Diceros bicornis minor: one gene and its partners. The protein of the gene in region 1 purifies or fractionates together with the protein of each later gene. This does not show direct contact. Links are inferred from orthologs where the notes say so. Each region holds a gene or a part of one and is shown in the gene's direction. Other genes may lie near its edges.

Region 1 (6,957 bases):
CCTGCAGGGCAGGCAGCTTGGGCCTGCACTGCCCTTCTAGGCGTCTTTTGTAGCACTTGGCTCTGCCGTCCCCATGGGGGCAGGAAGCCTCTTGGGCCTTCACATTCCTTCCTAGACAAGGGCCACTGGCCTTTGCCCCACAGATACTGTACAGTATTTTCATTAAAAGCCTCTTTCTTAACTTCCTGTCCATGGTTTTGCCTGATGAAAATGGGGAAACTCCCAGCCACAGACAAACTGGAAAAGAGGAAGTGCAATCAATAGCCACCACTAATACTGTTGACCGTGACAGGTGGGGCCCCTTTAATCCCCACAGCTTGGGAGGCCGTCTGTCCCCACTTTGCAGGGGCACTGAGGCTGAGTGATGTGACTAGCCTAAGGTCCAAAGCCAGGAAACAGTGGAGTCAAGATTCGAACCAAAGCTTTCTGACTTCAGAGCTGGGCTAACTGAACTCAACAGATATTTATTCAGTGCCTGTTATGTGCTAGATCTTGTTCCAGTACCTAGACACAGCAGAGAACAAAACACAGGTCTTGCTCTCGTGGAGCGTACAGTCTAGCATTTATGACCACGTAACCCACATGCTGTCTGTGACCCTGAGCAGGTCACTGCACCTCTCTGTGCCTCTGTCCTCAGCTGCCCAACGTGAGAATGAGCAGGCCCGGCTCAGATATGGATAATGTGCCTGGTGCACTGTAGATGCCTAACAGGATACCCCATCCCCAGCCCACCACCCAGACAGTAGAGAGAGCTGGAAGTTGCCTTTTAATCATCAAGTACGAGGGGAGAGAGCAGAGGGACCTGAGCCTGGTAGTCTGATGGGCCGCCGCCCCAGGGCCTGGGCTGCCTACACGAATTGCTGTTGCTGCTGCTGCTTCTTGGTGGCTGCCTTGCTGGCAAGGTCCTTGGCCTTCTCTGTAGCTGCCAGTGCTGTCTCCTTTGCCTTCTCCTTGGCTTCCTTGGCTGTCTCAACAAGAGATTTGGAAGGAGCCTCACCTGCAGCAAAGGGCAAGGGGCTGGCTTCAGAGGACGCCACAAAGACCCACCTAGTCACCCCCCGCGACATTTACCTCCTGTGGGCCGGGCCCCACTGGAAAGGCAGTGTTTGCCCCAAGGTACAGATGAGGCACCCCAGGCTTAAGAGTTGGTAGTGACAGCCCCACGCTCCACACCAGTCAGGGCAGCTAGGACTTGACCCCAGCCTCTGCCTGTGCCCAGAGAACTCACCTTGCAGCTTGGCCAAGATGTATTCAAAACCTTTCATAGTCTTGGTCACGTTGCTTTTGAACCGGGCAAGACCAAATTCCTGGCAAAATGTGGGAAGGGAAAGGATTCAGAGCTGCCCACTGACCCCCAGCCCAGCCTCTCTGCCAAATGCCAGAGCCCCAGCACCCCCACAACGCTGCTCACCTGGACAGCTCTGGAGACGCCAAATAAGCCAGAGGAGACCCAGGCTTCCCGGCGGATTTCGGTCCAGCCACTGTTATCAGAGTTCACACAGTAAACACATCGTTCCTCCACCACCTGTGCAGGGAGTCGGGCCAACCACAATCATGTGGCAGTCTTTCACTTTGCCAACTTGCATATAAATTTGATCCCCTGTCTCTTTTCACGAGAGAAAGCAAAAAAATGAAAATCCATTCCTTTCCCTTATTGCATCCCCAAGCTGCGTTTCAGGAAAAGAGTAAGAACATAAAATAGGTCATTTTGTTCTCTAAAACCTCTCCTCTGACCCTTCAAACTAAAAGGCACGTGGAAGGCAGAGGGCCTTCCAGCTCCACCCTGGCCCTGGATTTTGTTTTGTACCGTTATGTCTAGACATGTGCAGTGTTGTTAGCCTGCCTTCCACCTATCGCAGCTCTTGAGCTCCCTGGCAGTCCAAATAAAAACGGAAATCTGGCAATCCTCACAGCTCTCATTATGAGAGGAGTGTGAACCACTACTTTCAAGAGAAACACTTAAAACGTGTCTCATAGCTGGATTGAAAGACATTCTCACAACTGGATGGCTATCTTGGTAATTTACAGAACAGAGGTAATGCCCTTAGGATAGTCAGCTGGGAGGCCTTCAGATAACTCTGGGGCAGAGTATTAACGTGCCTACTCACTCTGTGACCTCATAGGACACTACCCCTCTCTGAAGCTCACTTCCTTCTTTGCACAATAGGGAGTAACAGATTAGCTGAAAAAGAGAATGAGCATTCTCTGAAAGCTTTCAGGGTATTCACATGTGAGAAGATACTGTAGAATGTTCTTTGAACTGTAGGCTTTCAAGTTTTTTGAAAGGCAAGAGATCAAAGGTATGTGGAACCTCTTTTCCCCAAATTCTCAGGAAAAAACCCATTATATAAAACCCATTATATAAGACAGATAAAAGTGCAACTTCTCTAGCCAACGTGAGGCAAGGGCCCCAGGTCCTCTCTCACTCTCAGGCACATCCAAGGCACCCTTATGGCTTGGTGGACTGCTGGTTGAAAACCACTGCCTCCCTTTCTCAGCATCACTCCTGTAGGCCCAACCTATACATGTGCCAGGAACAGTGTGAATGCCCTGCATTTACTACCCGCAACAACTCTGTAAAACAGGTACCCCGCCCACTGTATGAAATGGGTTAAAAGAGAGGTCAAGAGAGGGTAGCCAGCTGAAAAGATCATTAGAATCTGTACTCTAGAGCCATCATTCCTCAGTAACCCAGCTCTGCCTCAGACCATAGAAGCTCCCTCGTGCCTCCCTAGCCACATGTACTGGAGCTCTCTACTTTTGGGGGGGACCAAGGAGGGTCTCACCATCAGCCGTGCGTGGTTGATGTTCCAGGTGAAGGTGGTCATGGTCTGGTTCTGTGGGTCCACAATAGAATCCTCCAGGATGTACACCGAGTGAGCAACATTGGCAGGAAACAGTCGCTCTGCCCAGCGGGGCATCCTGTTGGTCTTGGTCAGGAGTCGCCGGGACAGGAGCTTCTGGTCAGGGGTCACCTCCCGGTGCACTATGTCTTCCGTCAAGACATGTTTGCTGCAGGTGTCAGAGTGAAGGTGACCCTCGGGAGCCTGCCCCTGAGAGACGGCCTGTTGGGGTTCCCATCTGGAGCCCCCCAGCCCAAAATGGCCATGCCTTCCCCTAAACTTGCAGAGTGATCTGTGCTGTGGCTCAGACCTGAACTCGAAGCCCTTGAGCCTATCCTAGGGCAAATTCCAACTCCTGCCCCCTCGCTGACCTGGATTCCTGGGCCATCCAGCAGGGCTGGGCCTCATGATTTATTGCACCACCGGAGAGCGCCACAGGCAGAGGACTAGGCAAGCGCCAGGATTTCCAACCCCAAGGTCCCTCCCAACTCCTGTGCCGCCGGCTCTTCCAGTCTCACCACCCAGAGATGAGAGAACCTTAGACTAGGGCCTCAAGTAAACCACCGCCCAGGCCCAGCCTCCTTCCAAGTACCTTTGCAGGCCTGGCTCGGCCGCTTCCCGGATAGGGTCCCTCTTGCCCTACAGACGGCCACAGTGCCGGCGATCCCCTACCTCGGACTCGATGTCGAGTCTTTCCTGGCCCCACACTTCGAACTCCAAACAGCGAGGGGGAGGGCTGCTCTCTCCAGGGCCACGTACCTATAGGGATTCGGGTACCGCTGCCAAAAGGCAGCGAACACTTGGTCCCAGGAACTCCGGAGCACGCTCTGGCCCAGGAAATACTTCACCATCGTCCCAGCCGGGGCGGGCTCAACACCCGCGAAGCATCAGGGGTGCGGAGCCCGGGGGGCACGCGGAGGCCGGGCCGGGGCTCGGCGCACGCCCGCCAGGCTCGCAGCTCAGTCACCACTGCGCCGCGCCCAACCAGCCACCGCCGCCATGAGGAGCAGTCGGGACGCGCACTACTTCCGGCGCAGCAGCGCTGAACCCACCACTTCCGGCGCCTGTGCACGTGACCTCGTGGCCCCGCCCCTCACTCCTCCCCCTGCGGGAGTCCAGGCGCAGCAGGCCGGAGGCAGGTCGGCGGGACCCTGGGCTCGGTGAGGAATTCGTGCCGGACAGCGCCTAACCCGGCGGGCGAGCGGGCGGCGGCGTGCGGCGCCGTTGAGGGCGCTGCCCCGCGCGCTCCCAGGCCGCCCCGGGTCCTGGGCTCTTCCTTCGAAGGAGGAGCAGCGCCCGGGACCGAAGAGCGGGGGCAGACGGGGGCGCTGCCAAGGCTCGAGCCCGACGCGGTATCTCGAGTCGCAGGTTGGCGCCCCGGGTCAGGGACTGAGGCTTGGGCGCCGCCTGCCCGACCGGAGATTCGGGTTTGCCTCCCGCCGCCGCTCAGGCCCCTGAGGTGGGTGAGGCGGCCCCGGGAGCATGAGCGGGCAGCGCGTGGACGTCAAGGTGGTGATGCTGGGCAAGGAGTACGTGGGCAAGACGAGCCTGGTGGAGCGATACGTGCACGACCGCTTCCTGGTGGGGCCCTATCAGAACGTGAGTGCGCCCCGCGGGAACAGGCACGGGTGGGAGGGGGCCAGCTCACACCGCGGCCCTGAGCCCTTCGCTCTGGTTGCAGACCATCGGGGCCGCCTTCGTGGCCAAGGTGATGTCCGTCGGAGACCGGACGGTGACTTTGGGTATTTGGGTAAGTCCCGTGGGCAAGTAGTCCTGGGAGACCCCATTCTTGAGGAGGCTTAGGTCCTGCCTATTACTGACTGACTTGTGGCTTCACAGAGGCCATTTCTCTTCTAGACCCCAGTTTAAAAATGGGGGTGTGGAGGACCTGGGGAGTGCTCAGGAACTCAGGCCAGGTCTGAGCCTCCCCCTGCCTTTCAGGACACAGCAGGCTCTGAGCGCTACGAGGCCATGAGCCGAATCTACTATAGGGGCGCCAAGGCTGCCATCGTCTGCTATGGTAAGGAGGGTTCTGGCCTATTTCTCAAACAAGAAGGGGTGGGTGCCAGGCTGGCCTTAGAGAACAGCCCCTGACTCTTGGTTGTGTTTCTTGCGCGTCCTATACCCCTCCCAAGACCTTACGGACAGCAGCAGCTTTGAGCGGGCAAAGTTCTGGGTGAAGGAACTGCGCAACCTAGAGGAGGTAGGCAGCGAGACCTCACCAGAGGACCAGGAGCTGGGGCGCTGGTGGTCTGTGGGGGTGACCCACCTTGTCTTCTGCTTCAGGGCTGTCAGATCTACCTGTGTGGCACCAAGAGTGACCTGCTAGAGGAGGACAGGCGGCGTCGACGTGTGGACTTCCATGATGTCCAGGACTATGCTGACAGTAGCTGCTCCTCAGCTCCCTGGGGGAGGGGGAGGGAAGTGGCTGCTTGGGTGGGTCACAGAAAATAGGGACTGCCTTGGCTGCCATGGCAAGATCACCTGGGAAGGCTTTCTGGCCTCCCTGGACCTGTGGGGTCCAGAAGATTCCCTGAACTGCTACCCTTCCCCTTTGTCTGTGTCCACCTGATTGTCAGATATGAGGCCTTAGTCACTTCTCTTTACAGATATCAAAGCTCAGCTCTTTGAAACATCCAGCAAGACAGGCCAGAGTGTGGGTGAGTGCTGTCTTGGGCCTCACAGCAGGAACAGGCAGGGCACCAGAGGAGGCAGGGAAGAACCTAGAGAGCTAGGTCACTGGGTGATCCCAGGGCTACTGGGATTGGGCCCTCACTGACCGTCCTTTTTCCTGCCAGACGAGCTCTTCCAGAAAGTGGCAGAGGATTACGTCAGCGTAGCTGCTTTCCAGGTGATGACAGGTGTGTGCTTCCCTAGCCTCTTTGGAGACTTCCTCCAGGCCCACGGCATCTGGCCCCGTTCACGGAGTTACCCGATCCCCCCGCAGAACGGTGCTGAGCTGCCATCTCTCTCTCTGACAGAGGACAAGGGCGTGGACCTGGGCCAGAAGACAAACCCCTATTTCTACAGCTGTTGTCATCACTGAGTCATCACTCATCTGGCCTGGGGGAATTAAAGGAATTCCTCCAGAGGGGCTGGACCTAGCTCTTGTCCGGGCCTGGGTGGTCAAGCGTTTGAGCTACCCCAGGTCCCCATGGCAGCAGAGGTGGCACCTACCTGTGCTGGCCCATGGAACAGAGGCAGCATTGGGCTGACTGATGGGCATGAGGGTAAGGGCTGATTTGGACCTCAGGCTTCTGCCCTGGACAGCACTTGTCTCTGCAGATTACTTAAGTGGCTTCTGATTTGTAAATAAAATCAATGCACTGTGAATCACACTCACCCCTTTCCCTGCTGTGTGGACTGGGTGTCAACAACCTAGTTCTTTCTGGGGCCACCTGGCTGGCCTCATTTCCTATATTAAGGCTCCTCTCAGCTCTTATTTTCCTTTGGAAACCAAGTAACTTCACACCAGGGTTGCGACTGAGATAATGGAGAAACAAAAGGGCCCTTTCCTATTCTTTAGTGGGGGCAAAGATAGGGTGAGAGATTGGGCAGTGGAAAGTTCAGTTTGTTCCTGGTGCTGAGAAGAGCAAAGCAAGCACTAAATGGTGTCTAGAGATCAAAGGGTCAAGCACTTCCACCTCAGACTGGCTGGCTCTACCACATCTCTGTCATGTCTAGGTCTGTGAGTTATGCCTATGGCTCAGATCCTAAGCTTACCAGCAACATCCTACAAAGTGGTTCAACAGTAGAAAAATCATAGGTTCTGCAAGACAGAAAGGTCTTAGGGATCCAGACTGGGATCCAGTTCAGCTACTAACTTAGAAAAGGGACTTGAACTCAGCCTGAGTTTCTCTTCTGTAAAATGAGGTGAGCACTACCCAGTTCAGGACTGTGAAGATCAAGAGTGAAAAGTAACTCTAGGACTAAATGTTTGTCTTCCCTCACTCTTCCCTGGAGAGCTTTTTGCCCAAGGGGCAGGAAGTTCAGGACTAGTTCAGAAGAGAAGGCAGACTCCCAAGTTTCCCCCAAAGTGTATTTTTGGACCTTGGAGATCCAGATATTTCTGAAGGATCTGGTGTTACTGTAGACAGGGCTGAAGCTTCCTGTT
Region 2 (7,445 bases), on another chromosome or scaffold:
AAGATTGTCCCTGAGCTAACATCTGTGCCCATCCTCCTCTATTTTGTATGTGGGATGCCGCCACAGCATGGCTTGATGAGTGCTGTAGGTCTGCGGCCGGAATCCAAACCCGTGAACTCCTGGCTGCCGAAGTGGAGCATGTGAACTTAACCACTATGCCACTGGGCCGGCCCACTCTTTTGATTTGTATGAAGATCACTTGGGCTGTAATACAGAGAACAGGTTTGAGATCGCTAAACTGAAGGCCAAGTGTCCCATGAGGAAGCTTCTGCAATTATCTGGGAGAGAATCCAATGGTTGTCTACACTAGGGTGGTGGCAGTGAGGTTGAAGAGAAGGGAGTGGAAGGAGTTTTATGAGGTGGAAAGGCTAGAATGTAATGGAGTGTTATGGCAGATCAAGGATGGCTACAAATTCACTGACACTCTTCCTGTTGACAGGCAGGTCCTGCCTGAGAGCTCCTCCTTTTGCATTTGGGTGTGCTCTGTAACTGCTTTGACAAATAGGATATGGCAAAAGGGACACTGTTCCAGTTTCTGGGCCCAGACATTAAGAGACCTGCGGCTTCCATTTCTTGTTTCTTGGAACTTGTGCTCTTGGAATACAGCTACGATACTTTGAGAACTGCAAGCCACATGGAGAGGCCACACATACATAGCTGCTCTGGCTGACAACCCCTGCTAAGCTGCCCGCCGACAGCCAGCATCGGCTGTTAGCCATGTGAGTGCACCATCTTGGATGTCCAGTCCAGGTCAGCCTTCAGATGACCCCAGCCACTGATTACAGCTGTGTCACAGACCCAAGTAATTCCCACGCATCTGAGCCCCTTCAACCCACAGAACCATAAGAGGTAATAATACATTGTTGTTTTAAGCCGCTAGGTTTTGTTGTTGTTTTTTTTTTAAGCCACTAAGTTCTAGGGTTGTTTGTTACACAGCAAAAGAAAACAGGAATAGACGTGGAAGGAGAGAAGGAAGGCAGAATCAAGGATGATATCTAGAATTCTGGTTGGGCCCGGGGTGGAGCCAGTCACTGCTGAGATGGGGACTGGGAGCAGATGAACACTGGGGGGGGGGTGGGGGGGTGGGTAAATGATCTATCATAAACTAGGGAAATATGTATTTTTGGAAATTCATTAAATTTTTTCTAGATATCCTATTATGTTTTATCTTCAGCATTAGCTATCTAGGTTTTAAAAAGGTTTATATTTTATAGATCCCTATCTTGAAGACCCTCTAAAATATAATTGTAGTATCTCCCGCTATAAGTAAAGCTGCACTTCTCAAAAGTATCAAGAGGAACTAGTACCTATTTTATCACATTTAGTCCTTGTTGATTGAGGCATCAACTTCCAGGTCTCTCATTCATTCATCAAGTATCTACTCGCCATCTGGCAGGCGCTCAGCACTGCTCTGGGTGTTAGGGGCACAGCTGTGCACACGACAGATAATATCCCTGCCCTCATGGAGTTTACTCTCTGATTGGCAGGCAGACAAAAAACAAGTAAAGAAAATAATTACCAATTTGATAAAAAGCAATGAAAAAAAAAGTAATAGGCGGCGTGCTGATAGAGAATAAAGGTTGAGAGGAACCTACTTTAGATGAGCTAGTCAGGGAAGATTTTTTAGCTGAAACTAAGGAAGTGGAAAGAACTAGCCGTGAGAAGAAGTGCAGGAGGGGAAGTGAGGTTGACTGATGGCTATGGGACCAACAAGAGGCCCTTGGGTGGTTAAGAGCTTGACCAGATTCTAGGAACTGAAAGACTAGTGTGTTTGGAGTGCAGCGAGCAAGAAGCAAGATGAAGTGGGAGACAGATGAGAGGCTAGATTAAACCATACTTTTTAGGCCATATTAAAAGATTTGCATTTTATTCTAAATGCAAAAGAGGTGGAAGCATGAACATGATCTGATTCACATTTTAAGAAGACAATGGTCAGAACAGACAGGAGGGGGAACACGGGTTGAGAAGCTGTTGCAGTGGTTCGGGACAGAGGAAGTGGCCTGGGCTAAGGTTCTCTCTAAATTTCTTTTCCTTGGACTCAGGTTCTTCCTTTGTAAAGTGCAGGTGGAGGCTTAGTAGAAACAGATCAGCAAACAGTTATTCCCAAGTGCCCAGGTATAATAAGACTCCCACTGGACTCTTGCTTTATAGAAGGATTTGAAATATTTTCAAGATTCATGGTGTTTTCCGCTCCTCTACACCAACCACCTACTTCCTCCAAACCTGTTTCACTCTATCAGAACTGGCATCTGTGGCCTTTGATACACTGAACCAATTGGTGGCTTTCAAGCCAGGTCACCACAAACAGTATTTGTTGTCTACCAAGTTCCTTGGCAACTGGAATAGGTGGGGTGGAAGATCCAAGAGCTGACACAATTTTGCTTGGACTCACCCTGTTGAAGATTACTCCAGTTGGTTTTTTAGGTTTTTTTTGGTCCTTCTGCTGGGCCATGGGACTTGTACTGCCAACAAAACTAAATTTCAGTGTAAGGGATCAGACTGAGGAGCCTTATTAGCCTTAAATTCAGTTCCCTTATCCAATGCCTTTAAGTTTCTCAGTAACTCTATCTGAATATTGATGAAATATCCTTCACTTAAAACATAGTAACATAAATCAGCTGATAGGCTTAAAAGCCTCTTCAACATTCAGATGCTGATGACAATAAGAGAAAAAGGCTCTTTATTGTTATTACTGATTTTTTTTAAAAAGGGTCAGTGTTTCATGTCAGTTCAAATATATAGGTAACCTGTAAAAGCAGCCCCAGAGAGATCCCTTGCCCCACAATGAAAAGACAATGAGAAACAGGAAGTGGGCCCTCACCAGACACACCTTGATCTTGTACCTCTAGCCTCCAGATCCGTGAGAAATAATTGTTTATAAGCATATATGGAGTGACTCCTGATTACCTGGAGAGGAAGAGCAGGACCTTAAGGCATCATCTGTTTAGCCAACCAAAAATTCAGTTACACCACTGTTATATAATTTGTTCAGTAGTGTAGTCAACTTTGCTCTTGATTTTTGTCTACTTATAAAAATGCTTTTGGTCACTAATATATATAAATCCAATTAAGGCTGTATGTAAATTTAAACTGCTTTCTTCTCCCTCCCCCTCAAAAAGGTCTATTCTCCAATATAACATACTTTCTTAAACTCTCTTTATGGGGCAAAGAAACGTTGCAAAAAATGTTTTCTCATTCTTTCCTGAATCTGAATGATTTAAATATGAAGGAAGTTCTGTCTACCAAGATTCACTTTGAATAGCTCTTATCCAGCTATATTTGAAAGTAAAGCTTGAAGGAAATACCGACTCTTTTGTTGGCTGATTATGCAGACCTATCTCAGGGTGAAAATACAGGTTGTCAACGCCTTTAGGAAGATCGCTTGTCTAGAAGGCCTCGCTATAGGGTCTGCTGTGAGAACACAAGCCTCTGCTTACCCCTGTCTCTTCACCCAAAGCTGGAGATTCCAATGAGAATCCTAAAAAAAAGGTGTGTGTGGCGGGATGGAAGTAGGGGTAGAGGGGATGGAAGGCCAAGGTTCTTCTACACGCATGGCCTAAACCTATTCGTATACTAGTTCTATAGCTGGTCTAAGTGACAGCTCGCAGTAGGCGCAGACCTGCTTGCAAATCCAATCTGGCCTTCCCCTTTCTTTATACCAAGGGTTACTTTTATTTTTTTTTAATTTTTTCTAAGGGTTACTTTTAAAAAGGAAGTTTTTTTTTTTCTTCTGAATTTCCTAAGGGTGCACATGGGGCAACGCACAAGCAAGAATGACACAGGGCGGGAAGTGAGATAAAACGTATGTGATTTCTGAACTCCTTAAAATACGCTGGGTCCTTTTTCCTTCGGAAAAGGGAGGCAGGACAGAAAGAACAAAACAAGTTGCAAACGAGACCAGGCGCCGCAGGAGCGCCGGGGGGTCTGAGCCCGCCGTGGGCCGCAGCGGGAGTCGGGCCGCCGGACGTGGGCTCCAGCCCGGCGGGCGGAACCCGGGGCGGCCGCCCGCCTTCCCCGCGCCCGCCTAGAACCCCGCGCGGCCGGTTCCGGCGCACGTGGCCGCCGCAGGCTCAAAGTCCAAGGGCAGCGGCAGGGCGCGGGCCTGGGGCGCGCCCCGGCTCCTGCACGGCGGCGGCACTAACGAACCGGACAGCCGCTCTCCGGCCGAGGGCACGCCCCCTCCGGCCCTCCAGGGTCCGCACACGACCGCCTCCGCCTCCCACCACGGTGGCAGGAGGCCGGGCGGGGAACCGGAATCCACCGGCAGGCATCCTGCCCTTTTCTCGCGAGAGGTGGGAACGGAAGAAGGTTGGGCGGGCGACGGGACGTAGCCAATGAGAGCGCGGGAAGGGCGTGATCGACGGCCCTCCAGCGCCTCCTCTAGGCCCCGCCCCGGCTGCGGAGGCCCGGGTCGCCGCCCGCTCTCCCTCCCCTCCCCACCTTCCCTCCCCTCCGTGCCCCGCTCTTCTCTTCCCGTCTGAGGTGGCGGCCGGCCTCCGTCCTCTCCAGCTCCGTATACCTCTCCTCCCGGCTGCCCTCTTCCTCGGCCCGAGGCCGCCGGAGCGCTTCCCCGCCCCGCCAGGGTGGCCGCATAACCCCTGCCCCTAGAATCCTGCGCCGCCTCTGCGCTCCCGTCCTCGCCCTGCCCCGCCATGAATGAGGAGTACGACGTGATCGTGCTGGGCACCGGCCTGACGGTGAGCTCCGCGCGGCGGCGCGGCCGGGGGCCGGGGGCGGGCCGGGGGCCGGGGGGCGGGAGGCCGGGGCTCAGCCCCCTCCCCAGCCCCGTCGCTCCCGCCGCGGGAGGCGAGGCCCACCCCGCCAGACCGCGCGGAACGGCCTGCGCGCGTCGGCCCCGAGCCTCGGCCTGGCCGCGGGGGGCGTCCTCCGTCGAGGTTTCGGGGGCTGAACTTCGCGGGGGTCGGGAGCTGGAGTGGGCCTGCGCGGGGGCTCGCGGCCGCGCAGGGGCGGGTCGGCCGGTGGAGTGGGTCGTCTCTGAGTGCGGAAGGGGGCGCCAGGAGATGGAAGACGCGGTCCCGTGGGTGCCCTGATGGGTGGTCACGGCGAAATACAGGTGGGGGGAACAGCGGAGTGTCGCTGTGCTGCAGAAGGCACCGTAGAAGCCCGGATCGGGGTGTTGATGCCCCTCCACCTCCCTCACGGGTGGATGGCCTCTCCGGATTGGAAACGGAAAAGCGCCAGGCAGAGTGGGGGAGGGTGGAAGCCACTCACAGTTGCATTTCCTGCTTAGCCTGCAGCCACTACTACCACTCAGCTCTGGCTGCCAGAACGAGGCGCAAGGCTTTGTGACAAGTCTTTGGATAATCACTGTTTTGTAATTGTCAGAGTTCAGTTAACTTAAGTTTTTGGAGAAAAGTAGTTTTCCTATCCCCACTCCAGTTGAGAAGCATTGTCCATTCCTTGTAACCACCCTCCTATCCCACTTAACGGAGCATCTGTAGAATTGGAAATGAGTTTTCTCAAAACTTGTCTATCAAACCCTTTCTCACCTGACTTTTGCCACGTTTTCCTTTTGTTTGGTCTGTTCCCTGACTCCATTGTCTCTTCTGGATGCTTTCCCTTAAGACATGGGTTGGTGATGGATTGCCAGAGGCCAAGTTCTCCACTACTATCCTCTTCAGGGAGTTAGGAGATCAATCAGTACCAACATAAAAAATGCAGTTGTCATGTGAATGCAAGGTGTTGCTAATACCATGGCAAACTTAATTTCCTGGGTATCTGTCTGTCTAGAGACCTTTAGATAATCTGCAAATAATGCAGGCAGGTGTTGTATCTTGTAGTACTTCTTTTTGTCCTTTTTTAAGAAAATGAATACTATTCATCTTGCAAAAGGATTCCATTTGAAGAGAAGACCATTTTCATTATTAGAATTTTTTGGAAATTTGAAATTCTGACTTTGGGCTGCTTTGTCTTAAGATGAACGCTGATGTAAATATTGTGTATCCTGTATAATCTGATCCCAAAGTTCTGGGTCATTTAATGTAAATCGCTGCTTCAGGGTTGTTGAAATGCACTGTAATCTCTCAGGATCAAATTAATATTTTTTTCAGGTAACACTCCAAAATAACTATTTTAGATTTCTCTAGACAAGAGAAAACGTTTTAACTTTAATTTGGCTAATTTTTTAGGAAAAGGTTGTTAGGAACTAGAATGGCACTTTTCTGGCCTGTCATTTTTCTGTTTATAGTGATTTATGGTGATTGTTGGAGAATACTCATTTCTGAATGCTTCATTATATTTGACCGGTCCAGAGATAGACATGTGCCTGCCTAGGAAATAGTACCAAATAGATGAGATTACTTACCTAGAAAGCTATTTAGTCATTTTGAATGTGAGATATTGGGTTGAATTTCCTTTTTGGTGGTGATTTGGAAGACTGTTGGATGCCTAAATGAATTGGCCTACCCACTGCAGGGTTGTCTTTTTAGTTTTTAAAATGCCTAATTGGGATTCTGAGCTGAGCTTAGTTTGTGATGGATTTTGCTCACTGGAATGGGCACTGTTGCTGCCCGCATGTTGTAAGAGCCAGTGAGTTCCACTGTTTTTCTACGGTTAGTGCTGGTCTTTCAGATTTGCTCTTGGTTAGGTCAGTTGAGCGTGGACAAATGAGTGCAAATCCATCATCACGCAGGTTTCTACCTGCCTAGTTCAGAAGCATCACATTGTAGCAAAGACAGCACAGTCTTGTATAACAACCAAGTTCAGATAATGCACTTTATTTAAATTTTCATTAGGATTAATTAATTGGATTCATTTGGATTTTTGGTGAGTGGTAGACGCATACCTAACTAGAAATCAGACCAATTTTTGCTATCATATTATAGCTGTGATAACTTTAATACCTATGAGCCTTCATAGATTGTTTTGTGACATATTTTTTGAGAATTATATCAATTCAGAGCAATCACATTATTACCATCATTGATAGGAATAGTGGTGACGGGATGATTTTGATAATGATGAATCTTGTACCCTCATTTTTAGTGACACAAGGACTTTGATTACTTAAAGTTAAATGAAGAGACCACCAAAGTTTAAAACCCTCAAGTTAGAATTAACTTTGAGTATTTAGAGTGAACATATTTAATTTTCCTAGTTTTTTTTTTTTTTTTTTTTTTATGAGGAAGATCCGCCCTGGGCTAACGTCTGCCAATCCTCCTCTTTTTGCTGAGGAAGACTGGCCCTGGGCTAACATCCATGCCCATCTTCCTCCACTTTATATGGGACACCGCCACAGCATGGCTTGCCAAGTGGTGCATGGGTGCGCGCCTGGGATCCGAACCTGTGAACCCTGGGCCGCCGCAGCGGAGCGCGCGCACTTAACTGCTTGCACCACCCTGCTGGCCCCTAATTTTCTTAGTTTTTGGTTTATAAATATATAGTGCCTGAGATTTAAGAACCTGAAAACAGGCGTATGCTATCAG
Region 3 (7,333 bases), on another chromosome or scaffold:
ATGCTAGAGTGTGCCTGGTGAGTGGGGCTGGTGGGAAAGGATGGCAGCCTGGGGTGGGGGACAGCTGTTTGGGTTGCAGGGGCTCAACCGCTCTGTGTCTTCCATAGCTCAGGTCTGATGGCGCCGAGGGAGGTCCTCACAGGCAATGGTGAGTGAGGTCAGGGAGGGTGCACATTTTCTGTCCTCCTCCAGCCCTGGGCCCCAGAAAGCTGGTCTGCAGCTCCTCAGCCCCTCCTCACTCCCAGGGCAGTCCCCCTGCTTCGGAGCACCTGGCAGCTGAGTAGGGAAATGCTGGCCCCCAGACCTCACCCTTCTCCAGCTGGGCCCTGCCTGGCAGAGGAGTCAAGACATCTAGGGGCCTCCATGCCACTTTCCACTCAGGCAGCGTGAATCCTAGAGTTTCTATAAAGGACAGTCACCCCCATGGAAATGTCTTGTGAACCTTCCACAGGTGGATTTGGAGTTTTCTCTATCTCTATTTTGTTCCACTTAATTAGGGCTTGGCATCAGGGAGTCGACGACTGAGGCCACAGATGTCCAGGAGGAGGCTGGGGGTAGGTGGGATAAGAAGCAGCTACTGTTAGGGATCCTCACTGGAAACTGAAAACACTAGTGAAGGTTGATGGGAGCTGGCTCTGCAAGGGTCTCAGTGTCCCACCATAGAGGACATGCCAGTTGCCAGAGGTGGGGGGACTTCACAGTGCAGATGCCTGGTGGTCCCCACCTCAACGAGGTGATCTCACTGAACGCCATCAAGAGGGGGCACTGATGTGACGTGTGGAAGGGCACGGCCTTGCCTCTGCTGGCTTCTGCTGTGCAACAATGGTCAGATGGGTTCTAACAGGCGTGGGGAGCATTGCTGTAAGTGCCGCCCGTGACCTGGTTCTCTGCTCTCCCCGTTGTCCCTCAGATGAGGTCATTGGGCAGGTACTGAGCATGCTCAAGTCCGAAGATGTCCCATACACAGCAGCCCTCACAGCACTCCGCCCTTCCAGGGTATGTGCCTCTCCTCAGGGGCTCTGGGAGGTGTGGGCAGAGGCCGCGTGGTGAGTTGGCCTGGAGGGGGGATGACTTCAAGCAGAGTGTGGAGCGCATTGGGGAGGCCAGATTCTCCCCTGGGCCAATATGGGGGGAATGGGGGTGAACAGTAAAGTCCTCCTTCCTTCTTCTAGGCAGCAGGTTTCTGTTTTGCCCTGTCAGTCTTACGGGCTGGCATACGTAGGCAACAGTCCAAGTATTCCTAAGTTTGAGGGACTAGGATTCTCACAAAAGCTTAGGGGCCAGCAGGGGAAAGCTTCCTGGAGGAAAGGCCTCCAAATATGACCCTTGGGACTGCAGATGGTGGAGAGGGTGCCCAGTGGAGACAGTGAGGGCAGACCCACTTGGTCTGGGGCCTGCTCCCAGGGCTGTTGAGAGAAGGCTTGTGGACTGTTTCTGCAGGTGGCCCGCGATGTAGCCATGGTGGCTGGTGGGCTAGGTCGCCAGCTGTTGCAAAAACAGCCAGCATCGTCTGTGATCCATCCTCCTGTGAGTTACAATGACACCGCCCCCCGGATCCTGTTCTGGGCCCAAAACTTCTCGGTGGCATACGGGGACCACTGGGAGGACCTGACCTCCCTCACGTTTGGGGTCCAGGAGCTCAACCTGACCGGCTCCTTCTGGAATGATTCCGTTGCCAAGTAAGGGCAAAGTACCTGCCACTGCAGGGGTGGGGGGTGTGTTGGGGGGCATGTTCACTGTGGGGATGTAGGTGGTATCATGGGATGGGGCTGATGGAGGGCTCTTGGAGTGGGGCATGCTCAGATTTCTGCCTCCCAGTGCCCTCTAGTCCTTGACTGGGACCTTAGTTGTTAACACTTCCCAGTCACCTGGGAACCTGACGCCTCCCCCTTGAGCAACATCAAGGCGACTGCACAAGGGCGTGTACCAGGCCTAAACCAGCTCTGGGGCTCCTGTATCCTTCCTGTGTGATAAGAGAGACTGCCCTTACCCCCCACAGCCCAACCTGGGCACCTCAGTGACTCCAGGAGGGAGCTGAAAGGAGAGTCACTGGGCTCAAGGGAGCCCGAGGAAGGAGCCCTCAGCTGGAGGTGGGGGACGTGCATACTGGTTCCTGACTTAGAATGTGTCAGAGCCTGAGTTTTCCCATCTGTCAAGTGGGGTTGCTGTCTCTTCAGGTGGCTGTGAGACCCCAGGGCAGCTTAGGTAGGAGTAGATCTGAGGAATTTGCTCTGAGACATTCAAGGCCCTCCCAGAGCCTGACAACTTGCCTCTTACTCTGGTTCTGCAGGCTCTCGCTGACCTACGAACACCTCTTTGGTACCACAGTGACATTCAAGTGAGTCTGAGGGGTGGCTGAGGTGTGGGCGCGCTGGTGTGGCCCCAGCCTCCCCAGCTGCGTGACACCCCGTGGCCTCCCTCAGGTTTATTCTGGCTAACCGCTTCTACCCGGTGTCCGCCCGACACTGGTTTACCATGGAGCACCTTGAGATCCACAGCAACGGCTCCATTGTCTCCTTCAATGCCTCCCGGGTCACGGGGCCCAGCATCTACTCCTTCCACTGCGAGTATGTCAGCACTTGGAGCAAGAACGGCAATATCCTTGTGCCCCGCATGCAGCCCTCTCTCTGGCAAATCACGCTTCAGGACTTCCAGGTAGGGAGCGGGGAGCACCGAGGGACTGAGCCTCGAGTCCGCAATCCCAGGCTGGAGCTCACAGGATACTGGGAGAGGGGGGAGGGAACAGAGGCCTGAAGAGTCCCAGCATCCTTTGAGTTTGGGTTTGGGCTCAGGAATGTAGTTGAGAGTCCCATCCCCACGGTGCTCCCATCTCGTGAGATCTAGACTACCCACTCACTCGGGAATCCTGGCCCTTACTGGGCCTCCCTCTGTGTGGGGCTACATGGTTCTTTCTGTGCCCCAGATCCAGGCCTTCAGTGTGACAGGTGAGCAGTTCTCCTACGCCAGTGACTGTGCCGGCTTCTTCTCTCCTGGCATCTGGATGGGGCTGCTCACCTCCCTTTTCATGCTCTTCATCTTCACCTATGGCCTGCACATGATCCTCAGCCTCAAGACCATGGACCGCTTTGATGACCACAAGGGCCCCACCATCTCTTTGACCCAGATTGTGTGACCCTGTGCCCATGGGGGGTTGAGGGCATGATGTGTCCAGGTTGTTGCTTTCCCACCCTGAGGCATGCTGGACTGAAGGGCTTCCCCTCTTCCTACTATAGTGTGAACCCACAGCTCCCCTCAGTCTGTCTTGCTCCCTGTTCAACTGAGGGGCTTTCCTGGGGCTGCCCACCCCCCATCTCTACCAAGAAGATGTATATATTCTGCATTGCTAGTAGAAAAATCTCCCAGGTTTGGGCATTGTGAGGGGAGGGGACCTGAGTTCTAGGGCCCCTCCTCCTCCCCCTTTCTCCTTATTTATTCTCATCTCTCTGCCTTCACCCCTTGCTGTTTATAGTGCTTTTGTGGCCAGTGCTCCCTCCCCACGCTTTATGGGGCTCCCTGCAGCAGCCAGGAGCTGGAGGTTCCCTAAGTTTGGGGGTGCTGAAGTACTATTTAGCTGTCTGTCCCACTTGGCTGGTGTTATTGTTTTTTGGTGATGTTGTGCTAACAATAAACAGTACACTGGGGTTTATTTCTGTGGCCTGATAAGGAAGGGTCTTCCACGGCAGGTGGGCTGGGTATGATCACTGGGTTTCTGGCATGTTGCCGCCAGGAGTGCCTGGCAGGAGCCTGGGGTACTCGGTGGTTTCCTTCCTAATAAAATAAAGACGGGTCGCCATGCGTGGGCCTCTTGTCACTCATTTCTGCACTGGGCACGAGGGATGAGCTTGGCTTAGGGCTGCGGGAGGAGGCGCCCGGATGTAGCTGTAGCTGAGCCAGGCCAAGGGGGAGGTGGGGAGGACTCGAAGTTCCCCTGTGGGCTGCTTCTCCCGGAGCCAGGGGAGACCTAGAGGGTCTTTAGCAAGCTGGGCCCCTCACCGGCTAGCGTAGGGAGAGTGCCGTGGCGCGGCGGCGATCAACGCCTGAGGGAGTCGGCCGCTACAAAGGCTGCCCTCACGTCCCGAAGGGGTCGCCCTCGGCTGCCGCAGCGGCGCGCGCCCAGCCCGCGGGAACGCGCCGAGCCTCCCGGGGGGCGGGCGGGGCGGGCGGGGCGCGCGCTGCTCCCGCGCACGGATCCCTCGCGGGCCGCAGAACTGGCCGCCGGCCCGCCCCGCCCCGCCCCGCCCGCCTCAGGGCCCTTGCCCATCGCCGCCGCCCGCGGAGCCGCGGTGGTGCTGGGTCCCGGGCTCCGGCAGCCCTCCTGGGAGGCGAGACGGAAAGGCAGCGGCCCCGGTCGGGCGCGGCAGGGCGCTGGGAGGGGCCGGACTCTTTGACGCGGCGGAGGGGTCCGACGGCGGCCGACGCGCCGCCATCTTTGGTCCAGTGCGGCGGCGGCGGCTGTGGTGAAGGAGGAGGAGGAGTCGACTTGCGCTGGCAGCGAGGCCTGACCATGGACGAGGAATACGATGTGATCGTGTTGGGGACCGGCCTGACCGTAAGTGCGGCCTCGGGCGCCTGGGGTCCCGCATCGCCCCCTCCTTCCCGCGGGGCTGCACCTCCCGGCCGCCGGCCCCATCCTCCCGTCACTGCCCACCGCGGCGCTGCCGCCCCCGGCGCTCGGGTCCCCAAAAAGACAGCCGGGTGTCCGACCCCCCGCGACGTCGCCTCTACCCATCGCCGTGGCCCGGTCTCCAACAAGCAGCCCTCTTCCTGGCCGCCCCCTCGACTCCCCGGGCCCCGACTCCCATCCCTCCCCACCTCCCCATTCTGGCCTGCCAGGCTGGAAGACGCACCCCCCCACTCGTCCCGATGTCCTCCGGTGCCTCCTGATCCCCTCGCCCCTCACCCTCGCTCTCCTAGCATCCGCTCCTATCTTGGCGCTAATCCTGGTATGAGGACCTCGGGTCGGAGGGCGTCGCCGGGGTGGGCCGTCATCTTCCCTCCCCGGCTTCTTATGGGGCCTGGGGACCCATAGAATGTTCTAGAAAGAGCATCAGTGGGGGCAGTGACCACATTCCCGCTACCTCACCCCGGTTTCCCTTGGAGATCTCAGGCTGAGTATTATCTGCAGCCTTTGTCCTTGGGCTAGTGACAGTGATGGGGGAGGGTGTTTATCTTCCCCCTTCCTCAAACCCCGTTTGACCCCCCCCCCCCCCCCCCCCGAGAGGCTCATCTCCCTCAGTCGGGGCACAGAAACCCCTCCCGTGGCCGAGAAGGCTCCTGCCCTTTGAGGAAAGAGCAGCCCAGGGTGGGGCCTGCGATCTCAAGACCGGGTGAGCGTTTCTTCACTTCCCTTTCGGGTACCATTCGCTGTGCAGCTGGGTCTCCTCCGTGGATCATTGTGTCCTCCTACCTGCCTTTCCGTGGGCATCTACGTAGATAGAGGACTTTCTTGGCATGTTAGTTGCCGGAGGACCATCTGTGTGTCTGCTGGACACTCTCTCTCCCTCAACGCCGCCAGTGTTTCTCTCCTCCTTGTTCGCTCAGCAAGGTTATAAAGGAGGCTGTGGTGAGATGAAGCCGTTGCCCCCAATTTTAGGCGAGGCGACCAGCCGGGGGTGGAAGGAGCTGTCCTTTGGGGTAGAGTCCTTCTGGCTTTGCTCTTCTCTCAGGTTTGGAGTGGGGAACAAATCAGAGCTGCTAGTGGGAATGTGGGTAGGTGGGAAATGCAGTGAATGTCACTCCTTCCCCAGGAATGCATCCTGTCGGGCATTATGTCCGTGAATGGGAAGAAGGTGCTGCACATGGACCGGAATCCCTACTATGGGGGCGAGAGCTCCTCCATCACACCCCTGGAGGAGGTGAGGCTGCCAGGGCCAGGCCTATCTCTCATTGATCTCTCACATAGGGTACCGAATCAGCTCCCCAGGTTCTTTGGGCTGGGGGCAGGGGCAGGGAGGGCTAGTCCTTGAGGTACCTCTCTTTCTCTCCTTTCTGCTTGCAGCTGTATAAGCGTTTTCAATTGCTGGACGGGCCCCCTGAGGCGATGGGCCGGGGCCGAGACTGGAATGTTGACCTGATCCCCAAATTCCTCATGGCCAATGGTGAGGGAGACGAAGGAGGTATTGTGGGGGGTGACTGAGACAACCAGAGGAGGGTCAGGTTCCAGAGAAAGGGCAGCCAGACCAGCTAGAACTTCTGGAAGGAGCCATGCTGATATTGTTGTCTTCTCCCTACTGCCCCACAGGGCAGCTGGTAAAGATGCTACTGTATACAGAGGTGACACGCTACCTGGACTTCAAAGTGGTGGAGGGCAGCTTCGTCTACAAGGGGGGCAAGATCTACAAAGTGCCGTCCACCGAGACTGAAGCCTTGGCTTCCAGTGAGTGCACGTCCCTTGAGCCAGAGAATCATGGGAGGGCAGCTGTCCAGAGCAGGGTGCCCCGTGCCCAAGGTCACATTCCCCATGCAGTACCAGAAGCCCCTTGCTCTGTCTTCTCTGCACCACCCCAGGCTGTGCCTCACACTTGTTGCCAGGAGGGGACTCCATACACAGAGGGGATGTGTGGGGGATCTCTTTCTTGAAAGACTTAAGCCTTTGACAGGGGCTCCACCTAACAGGTGAAACATCCCCACGTGTCAGAACCAGGAGGGCCCTCAGAGCCTGTTGAGCCATCCCTCTTCATACAGATAGGGAAACTGAGCTCAAGAAAGGCAGAGCAGTTAACGTAAGGTCACATGGTGGTCAGCAACAGAACTCAGCTGGGAGCTGGGGTGCCTGCTTTCTCGGCCTGCCTGGTGGGAAGGAGAGGTTCACTTTCTGTGGTGCAAATGCTCTCCTCACATTGCTTTCGCAGATCTGATGGGCATGTTTGAGAAACGGCGCTTCCGCAAGTTCCTGGTGTTTGTGGCAAACTTTGATGAGAATGACCCCAAGACCTTTGAGGGCGTTGACCCCCAGAGCACCAGCATGCGTGAAGTCTACCGGAAGTTTGACCTGGGCCAGGATGTCATCGACTTCACTGGCCATGCCCTGGCGCTCTACCGCACTGATGAGTGAGGGGAAGCTGGCATGGTGGACCACCCCTTGCCCAGCCTGCACCCTGCCCTCCCCGCTCCTGCTTGCTGCTGCCTCAGCCCACCCTGTACATCTCTTGTACTTGGTCATACAGTCACCTGTGGCCTCTCCCGTCCCTTCCCTGCTTTTGACCCATAGTCTTCCCCAGGTCATTGAGGGTGGTGGGAAGGATGGCTTGGGGCCTGGGTAGGGAGAAGCCAGGGGTGCTGCTATTGGAGCCTCTTCTCCTGAACCCGTCCCCCCAGCTACCTGGACCAGCCC

Evidence for each region.
Region 2: the proteins of RAB24 (region 1) and GDI2 purify together in Homo sapiens (affinity purification with mass spectrometry; 3 studies listed by BioGRID and IntAct, with this or other methods). This does not show direct contact. The link is inferred for Diceros bicornis minor from reciprocal best matches to the Homo sapiens genes RAB24 and GDI2.
Region 3: the proteins of RAB24 (region 1) and GDI1 purify together in Homo sapiens (affinity purification with mass spectrometry; 3 studies listed by BioGRID and IntAct, counting the BioPlex papers as one, with this or other methods). This does not show direct contact. The link is inferred for Diceros bicornis minor from reciprocal best matches to the Homo sapiens genes RAB24 and GDI1.

The regions. Positions count from the first base shown.
Region 1 is NC_080740.1:90,513,797-90,520,753, reverse strand, and holds the start of RAB24 (ras-related protein Rab-24), read left to right. Parts: upstream 1-3,949; 5' UTR 3,950-4,325; coding exon 4,326-4,442; intron 4,443-4,524; coding exon 4,525-4,593; intron 4,594-4,784; coding exon 4,785-4,863; intron 4,864-4,978; coding exon 4,979-5,046; intron 5,047-5,129; coding exon 5,130-5,229; intron 5,230-5,452; coding exon 5,453-5,503; intron 5,504-5,641; coding exon 5,642-5,704; intron 5,705-5,824; coding exon 5,825-5,889; 3' UTR 5,890-6,957. Other genes in the region: PRELID1 (PRELI domain-containing protein 1, mitochondrial), read right to left, coding at 849-997, 1,229-1,307, 1,412-1,525, 2,787-3,012, 3,603-3,694.
Region 2 is NC_080775.1:7,008,196-7,015,640, reverse strand, and holds the start of GDI2 (rab GDP dissociation inhibitor beta), read left to right. Parts: upstream 1-4,438; 5' UTR 4,439-4,652; coding exon 4,653-4,697; intron 4,698-7,445. UniProt on the Homo sapiens protein: GDP-dissociation inhibitor preventing the GDP to GTP exchange of most Rab proteins. By keeping these small GTPases in their inactive GDP-bound form regulates intracellular membrane trafficking.
Region 3 is NC_080781.1:138,372,513-138,379,845, forward strand, and holds the start of GDI1 (rab GDP dissociation inhibitor alpha), read left to right. Parts: upstream 1-4,326; 5' UTR 4,327-4,504; coding exon 4,505-4,549; intron 4,550-5,747; coding exon 5,748-5,855; intron 5,856-5,998; coding exon 5,999-6,098; intron 6,099-6,241; coding exon 6,242-6,376; intron 6,377-6,851; coding exon 6,852-7,050; intron 7,051-7,317; coding exon 7,318-7,333. Other genes in the region: ATP6AP1 (V-type proton ATPase subunit S1), read left to right, coding at 108-148, 498-554, 911-996, 1,441-1,679, 2,291-2,338, 2,424-2,655, 2,924-3,133. UniProt on the Homo sapiens protein: Regulates the GDP/GTP exchange reaction of most Rab proteins by inhibiting the dissociation of GDP from them, and the subsequent binding of GTP to them. Promotes the dissociation of GDP-bound Rab proteins from the membrane and inhibits their activation.